Mus musculus: one gene and its partner. The protein of the gene in region 2 purifies or fractionates together with the protein of the main gene of each other region. This does not show direct contact. Links are inferred from orthologs where the notes say so. Each region holds a gene or a part of one and is shown on either strand. Other genes may lie near its edges.

What was found. The genes of interacting proteins can lie anywhere in the genome.
Region 1: the proteins of Slc22a15 (region 2) and Vapb purify together in Homo sapiens (co-immunoprecipitation; 3 studies listed by BioGRID and IntAct, with this or other methods). This does not show direct contact. The link is inferred for Mus musculus from reciprocal best matches to the Homo sapiens genes SLC22A15 and VAPB.

The regions. Positions count from the first base shown.
Region 1 is NC_000068.7:173,733,111-173,743,417, forward strand, and holds the start of Vapb (vesicle-associated membrane protein-associated protein B), read left to right. Parts: upstream 1-4,460; 5' UTR 4,461-4,582; coding exon 4,583-4,640; intron 4,641-10,307. UniProt on the Homo sapiens protein: Endoplasmic reticulum (ER)-anchored protein that mediates the formation of contact sites between the ER and endosomes via interaction with FFAT motif-containing proteins such as STARD3 or WDR44.
Region 2 is NC_000069.6:101,918,711-101,929,123, forward strand, and holds the start of Slc22a15 (solute carrier family 22 member 15), read right to left. Parts: upstream 5,744-10,413; 5' UTR 5,409-5,743; coding exon 5,322-5,408; intron 1-5,321. UniProt on the Homo sapiens protein: Organic zwitterion/cation transporter with apparent specificity for amino acids and their derivatives. Has low affinity for its substrates and may regulate their flux across the plasma membrane at high substrate concentrations.

The DNA.
Region 1 (10,307 bases), on a different chromosome or scaffold from region 2:
CTCAGACTGGTCTGGGTACTGTTATTGCTGAGTACCTAGAAAGCCAACACCAAAGCTATGTTATGCCATGCCTTAGGGGAGGGGGAGGAGAGTATGAAGTCTGTTACAAACCATGTGGCCAAGCAGATAGATAAAGGGACACAGCAGAGCTTGTGGGCGTGCAGTAAGTGACAAATGAAAAACTATCTGAGAGGGTTACCTGCAGTCGAAGGGACAACAAGCCACCAACAGAAAGGTCTAGAATTGTCTGCAATCTGGTCAGGGTGGAATCCAGAGGCCTGGGCTGGATGCTCTAGGATACTACCTAGCATTCAAGAGCCTCCTGTAACAAACAAACGAATGAATGAATGAAAGGGAAGGGAAGGGAAGGGAAGGGAAGGGAAGGGAAGGGAAGGGAAGGGAAGGGAAGGGAAGGGAAGCGAAGCAAAGCAAAGCAAAGCAAAGCAAAGCAAAGCAAAGCAGACCAAGCAAGCAAGCGTATGGACCTGAGGGTAGTGGTCTAAGACTATGATGTCTGCTCTCATGAGGCTGAGGCAGGTGGATCAAGAATTTGATGCAAACCTGGATTATGAAGTGGGATCTGGGCCAACTGAGGTACACAGCAAGACCAAGTCCAATCACAGTGATGACAGTGTGCTATCTTCAGAGTCATGAAGGCTGGCATAAAAAACTGGGACGTTTTACCTCTTCCCTCTCCCCCCCGCCCCCGTCCCTCCCTCACTTATTTACTCTATCAAATGCCAATAATAAATGTCTTATGCTGATACTTGTGACACTGTACCTAGATATGAGTACAAGAACTTTAGCATGGCCACATAGAAGTTTCCTGAACGACAGAAGGCACCTCAGTACATCCTAGCCTTGCTTTCCAGATTCTGCTAATGACGTCTGGACTCATTTTATAAGTTGCTATCGGGAAAACAACCTACAGTTTCAAAAACATCATAAATAAGAATGCCAACCGGAACTCCAGATGTTGAGAGTGAGGCGCTGAGGCTGAGGTGGCATTTGAAAGCGATATTGTCACACACGCTGCACAATGGATGAGCCCTGAGGGACCTCATGCTGTCAGCAGTGGTGGCAGGGAGACACAGGCCAGCACTGCTGCCAGCAGCCTGAAGAGCTTTCTCTCCCTCAGAGACCTCTGCTCAGGTAAAGCCATATGCTTGACAATGGCACTGAAAAGAATCTCAAGATGAGCCAAGCTAAAGGCAAAGTCAATAAGTTTATTAAGTATTTAGACAGAATCATAGGAAAAAGGCAGTGTACACTCGAGGCATGGGTGTGCGCTTCTCAAGAGAGTTCTCTTAGAAGGCCTGAAACTTGCTCTGTAGACCAAGAGGACCTTGAATGCAGGCTGGCATGCCCCCCCACCCCCACCCACATGTCTGGCAACACTTAGGTGGCTTCACAGTGGCTGTGTATGTGATCTGGTGGTTTTAAGTTGCATTCTTCAAAGGAAGCAATTTATTACAAGGTTTAGAGATTAATAGAGCTTGAAACTAAGTAAAAAGCCTTATTTGGATTGTGCTTTGCGTCAGTGATGCCCTAAGGGGCCATCTGAGGTGCACTGTTCCAATTAAGGGATGTGAGAGGGGTGCCCCTATGGTAGGACTCACTGTTGCTAGGTTTTTTTTTTTTTTTTTTAATCCTTGTCTGAGGTGCGTTCAGGGAAACACACATTAGCTCTCTGGCTAGCTTGGCTCATCCTGTGAAACAGAGTCCTTGCATAGAAGCTGTTTCTCCCAAAAATGATTGACTAGGCAGACATGCAGTAATGAGGAGAGGTGGGAAGGTTGTAGATCCAGAGCCAATCACCGAAGGCCATCTTATGCCTCCCGATAGCCATCTATTGTTCTCTTCTGCACCTGACCTAACATCTCTGTGACCACTGGTTAAGCCTTATGAACATATGAACAGACCCCTGGCTTCTACCAATCAAAGGGCTGAGAATGCCGTCAGACAGTATCTATGGCCAGTATAGAATTACCCAGTTTGCTGCAACCCACCTGCCTGATGTCCTCACATATGTATTTGAAAAGTATTATTTTTAAAAATCCATAGGGTTGCTACTTCATTGGAATATGGAATTTGGGAAGAGCTCCATCTACATTGCCCTGCCATGGTCACTTCCGTTAGGTTCAGAATAATTACCTCCTTTAGTCCTCTCTGGAAGGGGCCATTGCCTTCACTGACCATCAGTTGTTTGGAGGTACTTTGACTTTTAGTCAGCAAATTATGTCCCAGGGTGGGTGGGAGGGTTCCTTTCCTTCACACATTCCCTTAGCTGCCCCTCCACCCCACCCCATCCCTGTCCGATCTCAGTGCTAAGTGACCCGTCTTCTGTCAGGTGCCTAGAGCACTCAAATCCGGAGACAGAAAACAGAATGATGAACGCCAAGGATGGGCTCTGGAGAGAAATGCAAATTATCATTTAAGAGATGTGGAGTTTGGGCTTTGCAAGGTGAACCTTTGGGATGGGTGAGTGAGTTGGTTGCAGGCAACAGGAAAATGGTGTTACTGGGCCACAGTCTTGAAAATGGCCATTGTTAGGTGTAATTTACAACAACAACAACAGAGTGACTTGAGGCCACCCTGGTCTCTATATCGTGAGTTCCAGCTAGCCAGTGCTACATAGTGAGCCCCTACTTCAAAGACAAAATAGAATTAGAGACTAAGTTGACAGCTCAGCTGGTAGTGCTTGGTTATCATGCAGCCTTGGACCAACTTCAGCCCTGCATGCACTGGGTATGAAAGCTAACACCTGAAATTCCTCATTGGAGAGGTGGAGGCAGGAGAATGAAGGCTATCCTCGGCTACAGAGTGACCTCAAGGTCAGATTGGAATATAAGAGATCCTGTCTCAAAAACAAAGCAAACAAGCAACAACGGAAAGAATAAAAGTAAGAAAAATATTGACTGAAAAGCTTTGAGCTTGATGAAAGATTCTCAATCAGCAAATTTAGAAAGCCCAAAGAGTTCAAAGTACAACAAACGCAGAGACAGTGTGGCAAAACACAGAGCAGAGTGGGCGCACGCCTTTAATCCCAGCACTCGGGAGGCAGAGGCAGGCAGATTTCTGAGTTCGAAGCCAGCCTGGTCTACAGAGTGAGTTCCAGGACAGTCAGGGCTACACAGAGAAACCCTGTCTCAAAAAACCAAAAAACCAAAACCAAAAACAAAACAAAACAAAACAAAACTAGACTGAGGGAAACCTGAGTTTCCTTTAAAAGCACAAGGCGTATAATGGAGCAGTGGGTGACTATGATGAACTGAAGCCCTAAAATCTCAAGAAAGCAGAACAAAATGTCATAAAAGCTAGACTTTCATAGATTCAGTACACATGAAGCAGTAGTAGCAGAACACAAGGAAAGAACAGATGGAGAGGAAAACAATCCTGAAGAGCAAGAAATGAGAGGCCAAAAGAAACAGTACATCTAATGGGAAAACCAACGTAAAGCAGCAGAAATAAACCCAGGTACACCAACAAATACAATAAGTATAAATGGATTAGATGCACAAGCTAAAAGACAAAGACTACCCCTTGGAAACTTTTATTATGAAAATAACTTCAGGTGTATAGAACATGGGAAGTACATGAACAACATGGATATTCCTGCCATATAGAGTCATGTGTACTCTTCACACGAATGTTTGATGAGGAGGCTATGAAGGTCTATTTTACATAGTATACGTTACACAATGAAATACTAGTCACGTGCCAATGGGAACATACAGGGCTTATTTTGGGTATCAGACAGAGCTAGGCTCTCAGTTACTTTTAGTCATGTGATTTATGTGTGTAACTAATTTATTCTCTCAGTGAGGTCCTAGCACGGTGTGAAGCAGGTCGTTTTCTGGTTATTGTATTTCTAAATATTTCTTGCATAAACAAGTAATGCTATCAGCAAATGGTTCAGTGCAGCGCTTTGCGGTTTGGTAAACACTGAATGCAGAATAGCTTTTATTTATGACAGTTACTGAAAGCATTCAGCGGAGTGGCACGAAATAAGCAAACAATAATTGCCAGTTTATTATATTTATAATTGTTATTTATGAACTGTCACAAGGCCTGGCACATATCACTAACCCGTAAACATTGTGTTTGTAAGAATAATAAGTACTTTATTATATTCAGGCTCAGTAGAGCCTGGCACCACACGTGCGGGAAGAAAGTGGAAGTTTATTCTTGTTAATTATTATTATTAAGTAAAGCACTTAACAACAGTTCTCCCCGCAGGCGCTTACTGAACAGTCTCACTGGAGACCGCCCCTCCTCCCAAGCCTCGAGAGGCCACGCCCCCTGTCTCGGAAGCTCCGCCCTCTACCGCCCGGTCTGTGCCTGCGCAGTGGCCCTGAACACCCTGCGCATGCGCAGTCTCCCTTTTGTCGCTGGAGCCGCTGGCCACTGCCGGAGCCCGGCATCTGCTACGTACGTGCGTACGTGCGTGCGTCGGGGCGTGCGTGGGTACGTCGTGCGTGCCGTGAGCTCGCCCGGCACCGCGGCCTCGCCCTCCGCCCCTGCGCCCCGCCACCCAGGCCGCCGCCCCCCGCCCGCGCCGTCGCCCCCGACGGGGAGGACCATGGCGAAGGTGGAACAGGTCCTGAGCCTCGAGCCACAACACGAGCTCAAGTTCCGAGGTAAGCGGCCGGCCGGCCCGGGAGCTGTCACTCAGCGGCCGGTGCCGGAAGGGACGCGCCCTGAGGGCAGGACACTGTCCGCTTGAGGCCCGCATGCACCAGGCGTCTAATGCATGCATGTGGAGTCAGTGCATGGAAACGGTTTGCCTGAGTACCCTTCCATCAGCTCCCCCGAGGCAGCGAGCTGCCGGGGTTACAGCCCACGAAGCCCGTGCACACTTTCTGTGTAGTACACTTTCTGTATACATCTGTGTGTAAAGGTGCATGCCCAGGTGATTAAAAAGGTGCACGTAGACAAATATATATGCATGGTATACGCATGTTATAGATAGTGTGTATACATACATGTGCGTACATATATGTACATACACACACACAAGTGTGTGTGTATGTACACATGAATGTTTCCATTCACTAATTTTAAGGGCCACGAGGCAACAGGGTCCATGCCCAGCCTGTTCCTTGCTTCGTTGCATGTTTGAGTCATGAGATTGGGCACAGGAGGCCTATAAAGTTCAACAACCAGTAAGCAAGATGGCAGAATACAGTGGTAAGCACTAGGAGGAAGAGGAAGAAACTGGACTCTATGAAGGTGTACTTGAGGTTGGCTGATATGATCCTCTGTGTATTGCCCACGTGTAGCCCACAGCTGGCACACACGATTTTGGGTGGCCGAGAGTCACCCGTTTCTCCACCGCTGGGAAGTAACGTAGGATCACAGCTCTTATCTAGTTGTCGCATTTGAGTTCTGATTTCAGACGTTCAGATACTTAGCCACTGTACCCACAGACTCTTGGGAAATGCTTCAGATCTGTGGCTGTTCACCTTGCCTTCCAGGTTCAGAGTGTGCAGTGTGACTCTTACAAGGAAGCAGAGGCCGTCCAGTCAACCTGAAAACAAAAACCTTAGGCAGCCTAACACAGGGCTGTGGAGATGGTTCACCGGATAAAGAGCTTGCTGTCAAGGCTGAGGACTTTAGTTCAATCCCTGAGTCCCACATGGTCAAAGGAGAGAACCGACTTGTGCACATTGTCCGCTGACCCCAACAGGTGCAGCCTGGCACACTTGTGAACAAACACACAGACACATACACAAAAAAATTTCAATAGAAGCATCGACTTAAATGTGGACCCTCGTCACCAGAGGTTCCCCCACTTATCGGGATCCCACTTGTTAGCGACAAGGAAGTGGTGTCCGTTTGGTAGTGACTATTTGGAATTTCGAATGCTGAGTCTTTTTCAGGTTACAGTGGTGCGTGATCCCGTGCCTGACTGCACAGCAGTGAATCGCCGCCTGGTTATAACTGTAGCTCTGTGTATTTTGTGTGTTTGCACCCTGTCACGAGTGCAAGGCGTCCATCTCTGTGGTGGGGTGCTCATGTGCATAAACTCTTTGGCTGGTGTCTTTATTTATTTTGCGTTTATGTGTTGCGAATGGCAGTATGTGTGCCACAGTGAGTGTGTGGTACCCAGAAGACAACTTGTAGGAATCATTTCTGTCCTTCCACCCTTGGGGGTGGAACTCAGATCTCCCGTCTTGCGCAACAGTGCTTTTGTTTCCTGATCTGTCACACGCTGGTGTTCTCTTTTAGAGATATGTGGGTTCTCGTGTGCTGAGGTCAGTTCAGGCTGACCTCAGTCTTGAGACAACCCTCCTGATTTTGCTTCCCCAGGGCTGGTGTTACTGTCTCAGCACATATTTGAATATTGTATTGTTATCAAATGGGCACTGTGCACCTGTAGGATGACGTGAGTCTGGGGCATGTCAGCTGCGATGTTCAGAAAGGTCAAGTAGAGCCGGGCGGTGGTGGTGCATGCCTTTAATCCCAGCACATGGTAGGCAGAGGCAGGTGGATTTCAGAGTTCGAGGCCAGCCTGGTCTACAGAGTTGAGTTCCAGGATAGCCAGGGCTATACAGAGAACCCCTGTCTCAAAAAACAAACAGCAACATCAACAACAAAAAAAAAGGTCAAGTAGGTCGAATGCACTTTTACATAAACATATTTCAACTTAGGAAGGGGTTGTCAGGATCTAACTTTATTGAGGGACATCTTTGACTTTCTGTGATGTTCTCAGTGGCTTCTCTGGAGGGGGAGACTGGGAAAGGAAGACCATATCCAAAGTGACTTTACTGGGGTCGCCTGAAGCTCTTACCCGTGACATGGCACATTTATCCCATTGCTCTGCCTCTGTGTGTCAGAACCCAGGACAATTCAAATCCAGTTGGTTGGTCTCGCCTCCTCTTCTCCGACACCCACCTCTCCTTTGCATCCAGGGAAAAAGGGGGCAGATGAGGTGACCCAGACTAGAGTGTGTTAGGAAACAACTTCCCAGGGTGTGGGAGGTCAGATCGTGACAGAGTATCACTGAATCTGGTTACAAAGTTCCAGTGACAGCAAGGGGGAAGCAGATAGGAGAGTCCGGCATAGACAATAGTGTGCATAGAGGTCCAAAAGTGGGAGTACTTGCTTCTTGAGAGTGCTGTGGGTAGAAGGTGTGGGGCGGAGTAGAGGGCCAGACTGGCCAGTACATGAGAGTCAGATCTACACACCCACTTGACTGACCTTCCTCAGGTTGATGCCTGAAGCCCCCACACACTGCTGTCTCTGAAGGAGGGGACACCAGTGTTCCAGCTCTTCCAGTTTAGCATGTGTGACCTTGCCTGCCATTTGCTCTCTTACCTTTGGGTTGGTGGCAGTGCTAAGAAGGTGACACTTCTCCAGCCAACATCGCTGGTTGGCAAGGAGATAGTCCAAAGGTTTGGTGTCCAAACGTCCTTACTCTGGAAGAGTCGTCCAGGGATGTGTGGAGACTTGATGGGGGTCTTGGGAGTGCCAGCCATACATTAGCGTGTAGCCCTTGCCTTGCGGATGAAGTCTCACTAAGCCTTCCAGGCTGGTATGGGGTGCGTGGCTTTCCTGCCATAGCTTCCTGGTGCTGGGATTGGTGCCACCAAGCCCAACTGGGGTGTTGAGTTTCTTGGTTTGTTTGCTTGTTCCTTGGTTTGAGTGCCAAGACATAGAACGAGAGACCCAGCAAGTTGGCTCATTATGTTAAGGGAATTCATTTCAGGGTGAGGACCTTCAGACTTAACTGGTCTCCTTCATGTTATCCAGAATAATGTCTCTGATTTCTGAGGTTCCTGTAAATGAATTACACGTACAAGCTAATCAAAGTACTTGTCATCCAGGGAATCATGGGTCTTTTGCTACAGTTGAAGATGATGCTATGGGATTTAGTATTTGTCGTTAATCTTGGGAATTTTGCGTGATGTGTTAAATTTAAATATGTTATAGTCTGGGCGTGGTGGTGACACATGCCTGTAAACTAAGTACTTTGGAAACTAAGGTAGGAAGATTGTGAATTCAAGATCAGATTGGACTACATCTCAAGATAACATAAAATAAAATAAAACCAAACACAAAAACAGCTGAAGTGTGATATAGTTCAGTGGTAGTGGGCTCTTGGTTCAATCCCTAGACACACACACACACACACTGCATGTGCACATACAAGTACACACACATGTATATACACACAGCTGCCTATGCACCCACAAGTACACACATGCAATACACAGGCAATACACATACACACATATTCACACATGTATGCACACACGTACATGCACATGCACACACAATTACAGACGAAAACAGCCTACAGGTTCCTGTGCTTTTTTTATTTCTGGGGACCATGCCACATTGCACTGTAGTGAATACCGAGGAGGGCTGCTAATGGGAAGACACAGAGTCTGATCTTCATGAGCCATACTTCCTGAGAGAGTTAAAGGCTTCAGAAGCTTGTGGTAGGAGCGTTCCCTTCTGTTTTCTCCATCCAGGCCGGGTAGGGTCTGACTGCCTCTTACATCCTCCTGGGAGCTCTGACTTATGTCTACGTCTAGCCTCTCAAAGGTTTGTCTTTCCTTTCTCTCCTGTTGGATCTCCTCTGTGGTATGTGATGCCTTGTATAATTTAGGTCATTGTCCAGGAGTCAACACTCCCACACCAAGTTCTATTGAAGTCATAGCCGGGAATGATAGCTAAACACCTTACTGGGTTGAGACACCAACCTGTTGTGGGTTCAAGGCCTCCTTGCCTTGTTCTGGCAAAAGCTGGTTCAAAGCCAGTGACAATTTGGAAGTCAGACGCAGCTTACGTACCTAGGTAGGGGCACTCACTTGAGCACTCCAAGCTTGTGGGTAGACACTGTCTTTTGTATGGAGAGAAGAGTCTTAGACTTGTTAGTTCAGGTCATGGAGTTGGTATAATACAAATGTGGTGGGAAGAAACCAGAAGTGGTCTCCCAACCAGAGGCTATAGTCCTCACCGGCAGGAATTACCTTTCCACTGTTTGCTCGCTCGCTCGTTCGCTCGCTCAGTGGGTCAGAGCTCTGGTTTCCTTAACATTTCAGGATCCTGTTGGCAGCCAGTGCTTTACAGCACAACAAAATGTCAGCAGCGTGCTTAAGGTTCTTTATGGCCGTGGTTTAAATCCATCCTGAATAGATCATCTTCATGTATTTAATTATTAACCAGCTTGCTCATCACAAAAGCGAGTGGCATTAAGTTTACTGGGCTCGCGTCAAACTTAAATCTTCCCTGACAGCACTGTTTACTTCTGAAGCCTTCTCCCTCGGAGAAGAATGAACTAGACGGTAACTTTCTCTTCTCTTCTTCTTTTTCTTAAAAACATTTGTGCAGCCCTCGGCCTTGTACTTGGAAGGCAGCCTGGTTCTCTGTGAGGGCTCGTGTCGGGCAGCCTGGCAATTCCCTAGTAACTTTTCATCACTGTGTTGACTTATTGAAGTAATTAGTCTAAACTGATGCTTCTTAAAGAGCCCAACTCTTACGCAGCATTAATGCCATTTTTTATTATTACCCTTTCCTCCACAGAGATTTTTGTGCCTGCAGTCTTAGGCTAAGTAGTTAGAAATGAGGGGTGGGACAAGGGAGTAAGTTCCAGAGAATGTTAGAACTAGAAACTTGAGTTTTAAGATGAAGAACTTCCTCCCACACTGCTCCATCTATCTCTCTATTTGGTAAAACTTTGCCATCTGAAGGCTGACCTGGCCTTGAAGGAGCACTGCTGTCTGCGAGATGACAGAAGATGAACACAGACGAGCCTTCCATTAGTCAGGATGAGCTTGCCGTGGAGTCTTTCATAAAATAAGAGCCTTGAATTGTACTAAAACAAGGGTGCATTATGGTGCCGGCGTGTCTCGTTTTCTGTCATTTCAGGGCCTTCTCGGCCCACGCACGGTCAGCACATCACACCCAGAGAGCTTTGGCCTTGTTCACTGGTTCTTTGAAGCCTTTACCAGGGGACCTGGGCAGCTCTACCTCAGAAACAAAAGTGGCTTAGAGAGCCTTGCTCACTGAACTAGATGGTCATTCCAGGATTATCTTAAAAAGTAATGGCGTGGTAATAAAATACCTCCTGGAATTCTCGTTTTTAAAAATGCTAAATGCATCCTTTAAACGGAAGCTGTTGTTGACTGGAAACAGGCCCTCAGGGGTACTTCAGGGTTTCTCCCATGCATGGGGTATCTGGAGTCACTGCTGTTAAAGTATATAGTCTCATAAGAAATTTTTCATTATTTATATATAATATTAAGAATACACATTCACTGTTTAAAATTGGTTGTCTAAAAGGATATTTAGTACAT
Region 2 (10,413 bases):
GGTTCAAAGCCCATGAAATGTCAGTCTTCCTTTCAAGAGGCACATCCTGGGGTTACATGGTCATATGAAGTCAAAGATGACACAACCATCCATGGGATGTACCACCCACCCAGAACATGCAGGTGCTTTTTCTTGGTTCGCCATTTTGACCGTGACACAGTTTACATCCCCTTCTGTCCCCCAAAGAACCAAAGTGGCCTCTCATCGTTTACTACCACTCTGCATATACCATGTATGCATGCACCCACATTTTTGTCTAATGAAATCACACCTATCAGCAGATGGACTTTAAAGCCACAATGAGAAACCACTGTCTAGTCTCCTTCTGTGTGGAACTAACAGCATCTTAGATAAATCATTATCTCCTTTGGCTCCAGCTCCAGGGAAGAACAAGTGCCCCAGATGGCTGGACTCCCCTTCCAGCCCCATCCCCACCCGCCCCAGTGTAATTAAAATTATAAAAATGACCCAAGGGTATTGAAAATTTGTTTCTGAAAGTGAAGGTTTCTAAAGTAATTTTGTAGTAACACCATTATGGGCTTTCATAATGTGTCTGGGGAAACCATCACAACCCTGCACTGTGAAGTCATGGTTAAGTCTGATGTTTACTTTGTGAGTTGGAACAAGATACAGAGCAATTAAAAACCATTCAAGGTTTCCTGTAACAGCAACAGCAAGATGAGAGTGGGGTCACCTAACTCTATGGACAGATCTTTTTCAAGGGAACATAAGGAACAAAAATCAAAGTTGATTTCATTGCCGGCATTGCTATTAGTCCTTTATGCACTTAGGACTCGATTGTTTAACTGGTCAACCAGAAACACTCTGTGAGTAAGCCCGTAGTCGTGAAAACAAACCCACATGCCGTGTCTGGAGCATGTGAGCACTCTTGGTTATTGAGTGAGTGTCTTACTGATAAGGATGTATTTGAGGGGTTTTAAATGCGGGACACACACATTCTAAAGGACTGGTGCCTTGTCTCTCTGTTCTAATCCATCTACATTGTATCACCAGCTCAGTCTCCTGAACTCAATAAACTCTCCTGGTCAAAACATACTAATGGGTGCAGGAGTATTTTCCTATAACCCAGTTGCTCTCTAGTTTGCATTCAAGCTTTCTGCACTCACCACTCAGGTATGACTTACCATGCTTAGCTACACATCTCTAAACTTCTTTTCTTCTTGCAGTACAACTGGATATTAATGTATGCCTCTGTCTAATGCACTCCCATCTAACTAGCCTCTCTAGAGGGTCCAGTGGAATACTTCTCTACTGAACAGCAAGCTTGTACAATACTGTAGGAACAATATGTACCAGGGCTTCCCAAACTTTAATAGGCAGATCGTGATTAAGGGGTATAGGGGTTCGCTCATTTGTTTTAATGTAGTGTATTGTGTATGTGTCTTTGTGAATGTATGCCACATGGTGTGTGTGTGTGTGTGTGTGTGTGTGTGTGTGTGTATGTGTCAGTGGAGAACAGAAGAGGTTGTGGGGGCCTCTGGAACTGGCTGCAGGTAGTTGTAGGCTGCTTGATAGGGTTCTGGGAAACAAACTCAGGTCCAGAAACATCACACTATGGAGTTTGGAAGAAACTGAGTTCGCTTTAGGTTATTTCCATGGAACCCTAAGACACGTGCTATCTGATCTCCCGCCTCTGACTGGGCTATCGTTTATGTTAAGAATTCCTTCCCCCAAGCTTTGCAACACCCACAGCAGCCTCTCTTTACTTATTCCAGTATGACATAGACAACTTTTCCCTGTAAGATCAGCAAGGACTGAGCCATCTCTCCAGCCGCACCCGATACACAAGGAAGCAGAGATAGGAGCTATTCTCTGCTTCTGCACCAGTGTTTTTCTATCGAAAATTACCTTCAGGTTTCTCTCTAAACCTAAGCTTCAAGTTCAGCTGCTCATCTTTCTGCAGGCTGCAGCAAACCCCAATCTCCTTCCTTCCTTTGCAAGGCATTGGTTGGGGTGTATTTCTCACTGAGGGAAATCGAACTTTGTATAACTATGGATAGAGTTAAACACTAACTTTCTAAAGAGCTGTAAAGTTACATTCATGCACTATCTAAGGCCTCTTTGTACCACTATGGCAACAGCACATCATATGTATGTTTAAACTGATTCTTTCCACAACAGTACAGCAGAAAGACAATCAAACCCAGCAGTTTTGGGCCAGGCATGGTAGGGCAGGCCTTTAATCACAACACTTAGGGAGCAGAGGCAGTAGGATCTCTGTGAGTCTGAGGCCAGCCAGGGCACAAACAAAACAATGATTTTTTTATTTTTTTTTTATTTTTTATTTTTTTTTTTGGTTTTTCGAGACAGGGTTTCTCTGTATAGCCCTGGCTATCCTGGAACTCACTTTGTAGACCAGGATGGCCTCGAACTCAGAAATCTGTCTGCCTCCGCCTCCCCAGTGCTGGGATTAAAGGCATGTGCCACCACGCCTGGCTGATTCATTTTTTTTTAATCCTACTTACTAAGATCCTAGAAAAATCTTTTATCAGTACCCATTTCTCTCCTGCAAGCCAGATGAAGCTCATAAGAGCACAGAGAGGACATTGGGGAAGAAGTGTATGACATACTTGTATAATTGCAGAGAGGCTGCTCAGGGGTGAATTAAAACTTAGGGGAAGGAGTGCTTAAAAGCAATAGCGGTCAGGAGGGAGAGCAGAGAGCACACTTCTTAGGGTGCCATGAAAATACCCCAGAACTCAGTTCCTTCCAAACTCTGCCATGGGATGTTCTAAAAGCGCTCTAGGTCTATTTCCCTTATGCTTTTACTCATTAGTTTCTTCTAAATCAATTCAACTTCTAAAATTTTATCCACTGCTGGGGGTGGGGTGTGGAGGTCAAAGGATAAGTTGTGGGACAATCTGGTTCTCTCCTTCTACCACGTGGGTCCAGGGAATTGAACTCAGGTCTTCAGGCTTGGCACCAGACACCATACCTGGCTGAGCTAGCTCACCAGCCCTCAATTCAAAATTTTTTTTGGGCCGGGCGGTGGTGGCGCACACCTTTAATCCCAGTGCTTGGGAGGCAGAGGCAGGCGGATTTCTGAGTTCGAGGTCTGCCTGATCTACAGAGTGAGTTCCAGGATAGCCAAGACTACACAAAGAAACCCTGTCTTGGAAAAACAACAACAACAACAATAACAACAACAAAAAAATTTAAAAAATTAAGTAAATCAACATAAAAGTACAATCTGTTATCAATACAGCTATCCTTTAGCAGATGGAACTATTAAAGATGCACTTAATATTACAAACTCAAGTGTAGCCTGGGATATTCTTGTCTAAGATGACCTACAAAAATATTTGTAAGCAAGATCTAGGGAGGGGGTGTGAATGTGAAAGGCAGCTCTTTTTGGTTTTGTGCTCAAAATGTTGGGGTGGGTGCTTCGGTGTTCCATGTCCCCTGTCAAGTATTGGTCAAGCAGTACAGCAGCTGGGCCTGCAACTGCTCCTTCATCTGGGTCTTCCTTCATCTGCTCTGACTTCTTGCACGTGTTTAAGCCTGTGATCAGAGGCATCTTTTTCACTGCGGATGCAGGCAGTGAGAACGGCAGGTTCTCTCCATGGCTGAACTCTTCTATTGCAATGGGCTGGACTTAGACTATAGTACAGTAAGGTCTTCAATAACGCTACGGTGTGACCCTCATCACTTCTCCACAGCAGGGACTTCAGAAGAATCAGCTATCCTTTCAGACACATCGAATTATAAAGTCGTCTTCCCGTGGAACTCAGGTGGAGGCAGGGACACGGCAACCCATACAGCCCACACCTACAAGATAAACAACCATCCATTGCCAATAACACTTGAAAACTTGGCAAATGGTGACCATAAATCAACCAACAGTTGCTGAGCAAAAAGATCATGGGCTTGGAACTCTTCCTTAACAAACTACAATGAACTAGGTCAGCCATTAATAAAAGCATGGGAGGGAGGGGAAGAAGGTGTAGGTCAGCAGTAAAGCTCTCGTATAAAAAGCGCAAGGCCCTGCATCTCCAGCTGGCAACGAGGTGATAAAAGCCCAGGAAAGTTAACAGGTCCTGACCCAGAATACTGGCCTTCTCAGTGCCACACTCAAGATTTGATTCTAAGTTGGCAACCACCTGGCTAGGCAAATAAGATGCTAACACAAGAAGTGGAGCAGAGAAGTGGCCAAAAGGATTGCCAGGAGAGGGGATATATACTTGGAACTCCTGGTTAGATGGAATATTGTCAAAGAAACCATTATACATGAAGACCAGACATTGCAGTTGCAGTTCTATTTCTCTATACTAATTCTTACTCTGCTAAGAGAAAGGCTTCCAAGTATCACCACTTGAACCGATGTTCTGCCTGGTGCTGAAGTCAACTGAAGATTTTAATGGGGAAAGAGAATCAGTAGATTAAGTTTTACCTTACTGCCTCTCTTCCTGCTGCAGCATCAACACAACGTTGAAGCAACTTGTGGGCTCTGGTTATAACCGCGGCCAGCCAGTACTTCCCTTGCAATAATACCTTAACTTACTTAGCTCAGCTGTCAGCCTCACAGTGTCAGTGTCACAGACCACTTCATCCCAGGATTGCAAGCCTCCGGGACAGGGAGCTAGCTTCATTTTCTGGCCCTGGTGGTAGGGATCAAACCCAGAGCCTTGCACATCTAGGGCTTTACCACTGACTGACCTGCTTCCTAGGGACAATCTGAGCTGCTCAGGCTGGCTTTGAATTTGCCTAGAAGAAGAGCCATCCTTCTCCTGCCTCAGTTTCCATAGTGCTAGGACTACAAGAATGAACCTCTTAAAGAGCCCAAGGACTCCTAAAATCAAGAGTTTTAGGTTGAGGTGTGCAGCTGGTTTCTGAGAATTCAATACAATGAACCACACTGTGTGGATGGTATCATTTCCCTAGACCAAAGCTGGCCTCGGAGCTTAATAACCCAGTAGAACTTTAACTAGAGAGAAATAAATTCCCGTGGATGGAAAGCCCCTTTAATAGGAAGCCTCCCTCAATCTCAGAGAGGGCTGAAGGAGGCCATACTAGCTAGACCTGATCTTTTGTGGGCAGGTTGTCCATGCTTTCTCTGTCTCACTCTGTAAGGGGTTAGGGTGCCGAATCCTTTTGATCCCGGGTAATGGGTTTCATCTTTCAACTAGCTCTGGTGGCGAAGTGTCAGTGCCAGGCTCTGGGTGACAGCCTGGGAGAGCTCAGTGGCTGGCCCGCCACCGCGCGGCGCCCGCCCGCCCCCTCCCTCCCTGCGCTCTCGCGCCACACCTGGGGCCAGCCTGAGCTGAGAGCGCCCCGGGGGCCGCGGGGAGCCGGGGACTCACCTGCAGCAGCACAGCCAGCAGGAAGCACAAGTACATCTGATAGAGGCCCATCTCGCCCACCGCCTGGAACGCCTCCTCCACCTCCATGGCGGGCTCGCGCCCGAGGACCCGGCCGCCACCGCGACGGAGGACCTGGCTGCGCGGTGGCTGAAGATCGGGCGACGGAGCGACCGAGGACTGAGCCGGGCGGGGACGGAGGGCCGAGCGGCAGGGACCGGGAAGGAGGACCGGGCGGACCGCGGCCGAGGCGGGGACAGAGGACTGGGCCGAGCCGGGGGTGGAGAACCGGGCGGGGCTGGGGCCCAGGCGCAGGCGGGACCCTGCAGACGACCGGGTCCGGGGTCGCGGCGGAGATGCGATGCTGGTCGCCCCGGCGCGGCCTCCCCGCTTCCTGTCAGAAGTGACAGGAATTTTTGGCGAGCGGTTGGCTGGCGCGCGGAAGGGAAAGAGGAAGTGGGTGCGGCGCGGGCGGCCAGGGCGACTCACGGGAGGGGCCGGCAGCTCCACGCCGTGTCCCGCGGGGTTCGCCCCTTCGCACAAAGCGGTGGAATGCGGGGGCGCTCAGAGCTCTAGAGCCTTCCGAGAAGAGGGCCGGGAGGCATCTGTCCCCTTCCTCCTTTGTCTTGCTTTAGGTACACAGGGTCAGATGTAAGCTCCGCGCCTCGAGACATCCACTTAGTAGTGCCCACTAGGCCCACGGACAAGGGACAAGGGACAAGGGCAGGGGGTCATGGTTGCCAAGGTCTGTCAATGGAGTTTGGCACAGGGCTGAAGAAGTGTGGGGACAGATTACTAGTGGCCCCACACCTAATCCTGTTTTGTTTTTAAACTATTGCAAGTATCTAAACCAGCATATCTCAACATGTGGGTCAGGACCAAAGACCCTTTCACAAGGGTCAGATATCAGATATTTACATTACAATTCATAACAGTAGCAAGATTACAGTTATGCAATAACAAAAAATTATTTTTATGGTTAGGGGGTCACCACAACACGAGGAACTGTGTTAGAGAGTCACTGCATTAGGAAGGTTGAGAACTACTAATCTAAACTATCGCTAAGTTTACCTTTGCTTTCTGTTGGTGTGATAATAGCATGACAGAAGAAACTTGGGGGCGGGGGGGGGGGTGGAGTTTATTTGGCTCACAGTTTCTCTCAGAGCCCATCATTGCTGGGAAGTCGAGGCACCAGGAACTTAAGCAGCTAGTAACATGGCATCCACAGACAAGAACAGAGGGCAGTGATGTGATGGATGCGCTCACCAGTGATCAGCTAGTTCCCTCACTCATTCGTTCAGACTAGGGCCCAACCTATGAAATGGCCTCACACATATGGGGGGGGGGGGCTTTCTAACAACCCAGTTTTTAAACAAATTCCCTCAGAAGCATGTCCAGGGCCAACCTACTCTAGACTGCTCCTCACTGAGTGAATGGGAACTTCCTTCCCAGCCGAGGCTAGGTTTTGATCGTTAAAACGAACCATCCCCTGAATATAATACAGAGTATAATGGATGACCAGGAGGTCCCCTTGTCTTGCAAGCATTCTTGTTGTGCTTCCACAATTTCCCATTAATTATGTCTGCTGTTTATAACTGCCCTTTAGTGGTCATCTACCTAATTATTGTAATAAAATGATACAATGTTGACTATGGCAGGGTTGGAAGCAGCCAGTGTGGTGGCCACAAAAGATGAATTGGAAGTGCTTAAGCCAGTGGTGGTGGCAGCAGCCATAGAGGCAGCACAGACCTTTGATTCCAGCCCTGGGGAAGCAGAGGCTGGGCTCAGCTACAGAATGAGATCCCTGGCAGCCAGGACTACAAAGATAAAGCAGCAAGACTTCCCTTTAACCATATGGTCTAGCTTTCTTGGCAGGCAGTGCTCTCTGTGAGAAGAGGGAGGGGCAGGGAGGAGAGGGGTCACTCAGCTTTGTTTCTTATTAAAGAACTTTTACTATTTTTTTTTCTAAAAATGTTTCCATTTTTATTTACGACTGTTTTGGGAATAAACTTGCTCATTTTGCCCTCCTAGACCATGATCTGGCTGTATTTGCACCCCACTTTTCGTTATTTTTATTATGACATACTTTGTTTAGTGTTACATAGTTATTTATTAAATAATTCATTATTTGTTTTGCATTTTTCCCACTTTTTTTCTACACAGAAAATATTTGAATATAAAATTGTAGTTCGCAGACTTTGGAATTTTTTTTATATATATTTTGTTTAGCTTTGTTACTTTGTGATTCTTTTACTAGCTAGATAGTGTCAGTGTTTATAGCTTGTTGGCTTTCAACACTTTCTCTCCCTAGCCATCTTTGATTTATTTAAGATAAGCACTGCTGTATCCCAAGTTGGCTTCAAATTTGTTATATAGCCAAGGCTATCCTTAAACTCCTGATCTTCCTGCTTTTGTCTTCTAGAAGGCTGAGAGAGCAGGCTAGCCAGCCTACTGCACCTTGTTACAATCTCCTTTGTAAAGAGTGATTATGTGAAAGGGTATACAATCCTCTAAGTACTATTTACCCTGATTTACCAGTTCTCCTAAGCAGTATTTTGTAATGGTATTGTAATTTGCTCTTTAACCAGTGTTATGTTTTTGAGCATTCTTTTTACCTTTCTAGTTAAAAGTTGTACCTTTTAACATTTTTTAATTATTATTTATTTGAACATTTTGTGGGCAAAGACAATATTAAATCCTAGAACTGCCTGACTTTTCCTGGGACCTAGCATCATTGTATTACAGTGCATTCATTGTAAACAAAACAAAACAAAACCCTGCACCATATGTGTTGAGAACAACACATGGTTTTCATTTGCTGGGCTCAGAACATTCTGTAAGTTAGTACATCATACTTGTAATCTTACTGAAATCATTGGCATGCATACTAAAGGCTTATATCATTCTTTAATAAATATATCAACATCTTCCAAATTATTTTCTTTTTAGATTCTCTTTTTAAATTTATAAGTTCACAAGAGGACAATCTAAGTCACTTGTTTATTATTAATAATTTCCTTGAAATCTTGTTGTAGTCTTCATCTTATCCTTATCTTTTGTTTACTCTTCCTTCTTTTGGAAGTTTATGGGAGGAGGACTTATTTCATTCATCTTGACAGTCTCTTGTTGAGGTTTGGTCTGTTGATATGTACTGTAATGCTAAACACTGGCCCTGGCTACCTCAGGGAAAGGAGATCCTCAGCACACCACGTGATGCTGCCCCTCAAGCTATCCCTGATTGGTCAATTAACAAGCCTATGGCCTATGGCTTATGCAGGAAATAGGAGGTGGGTCATCCAGAAGGAGAAAGAATTCTGGGATAGAGCCAGGTGGAAAAGCCACCCGGGAAGATGTGAGGAGACAGATACATGGTACCTGAGCACAGGTAGCCAGACACGTAGTAAATGTGGATTAAACTAAATGTGTTATCTTAAGTTATATTTAGTTAGAGAAGAGTCTAGCTATATGGCCAAGGTTTTTTTAATTGACAGGTGATGCATCCATACAATATTCAAGATATTCTCTCTACAGTCTCTCTCTTCCCATTCAACCTGATAGTCTATTGTTTGTTCCTTTGCTTTGTCTGTTTCTGTTTGGTTTGTTTTTGTTTTGTTGTCTTCCTATTTAGCCTTTAGTGGCCTGAAACTTGATATGTAGACTAGGCTATCCTTGAGCTCACAGGAGTCCACCTGCCTCTGCCCCTCTGCCCCTCTGCCCCTCTGCCTCCTGAGTGCTGGGATTAAAGACATATACCACTATACTAGACATTTAAGTGGAGAATAAATCTCGATATATTTGTGATGAATTATATAGTCAAAATTGTTTTCGCCATCCTGCTCTGTGCTTCTTTTAACTGCCTTGGTCATCTGTTGGATTATTGCATTTATTTTTAAAGACAAGGTCTCACTATGCCCCCCTGGCTGGCCTGGAACTCACTTTGTAGACCAGGATGGACATTAATTCAGAGACATATCTCCCACTGTCTCCCAAGTGCTGGGATTTAATCTATTTTTTAAGATCTATATTCCTTTTGCTACTCTGGGAGCTCTGGGTCACATCTTTATTAGTGTTTTGGAAGTTACACCTACAATTTTTAACACCTATAAAACTGTGCTTTCCCACGATGTTTTTATCTATACATTCTACATAGAATCTATGTGTGTATCCTCTTTGCAAAGTGATTAAAAACCTATACAATGTTTTAGGAATACTGTATCTCAGGGGGCACAAAGATGTCACATTCTGGAAATGTTTCTAAATGATTGTCACGTTGGCAAGTTTTAAATTACCTAGGAGACAACCTTCTGGATACGCCTGTGAAGGTGTTTCTAGGGAGGCTTAATAGAGGTGAGTCCTCATGTTTAGAGATTGTGGGCTGCCATCTCAGGATGAATAAAGAGCAGAGCAGAGCACAGTCAAGCAACAGCCTTCTCTCAGCTTCCTGAGTCTCTAACCCGGGACTCAAGGTTCATGGAAAGAGTTTTGATTAGAAAGATTCAGAACATGTTTTATTGCTGAGAATAATTATTTTTAATATAGAAACAAGAAGGCAAAAAACAAGTATGTTTTCATGGCAGTGATAATGGATTATTTAATAGCCCAGGCTCTTTTAATAGCAAACTGGGAGGCCATGGGTCAGCTTACCTATGTTATGTGTGTGGGGAAAGAGGCAAATGATTATTCTTAACAGAAAAGATAACTGTGATTATGTTGCTCTGTGGGGTATTAATTCACTCGGTGCCTGGTCTAGCAGTACCACCCTAACACTCATGTCCTGTATGCAGCCATTTATTCAAAGGCTGTGGGGCCATCTTTGCCTTCCTTCAGGTCCCTCAACTGTGTTCCAGTTGCACAAAACCTTAGCAAGGCTTTGTCCCATTTTGGACCAAATAAACATGTATTTAACTTTTTTTTTTCCCACAGGTTTCTCTGTGTAGTAGTTCCTGTCTATCCTGGAACTCACTTTGTAGACCAGGCTGGCCTCAAACACAGTTTCTCTTGCCTCTGTCTCCCAGATGCTGGGATTCAAGGTATGCACCCATACACCCAGCAATGTGCATTTAACTTTAAACCCCCTTTTTTGATGTCATGAAGA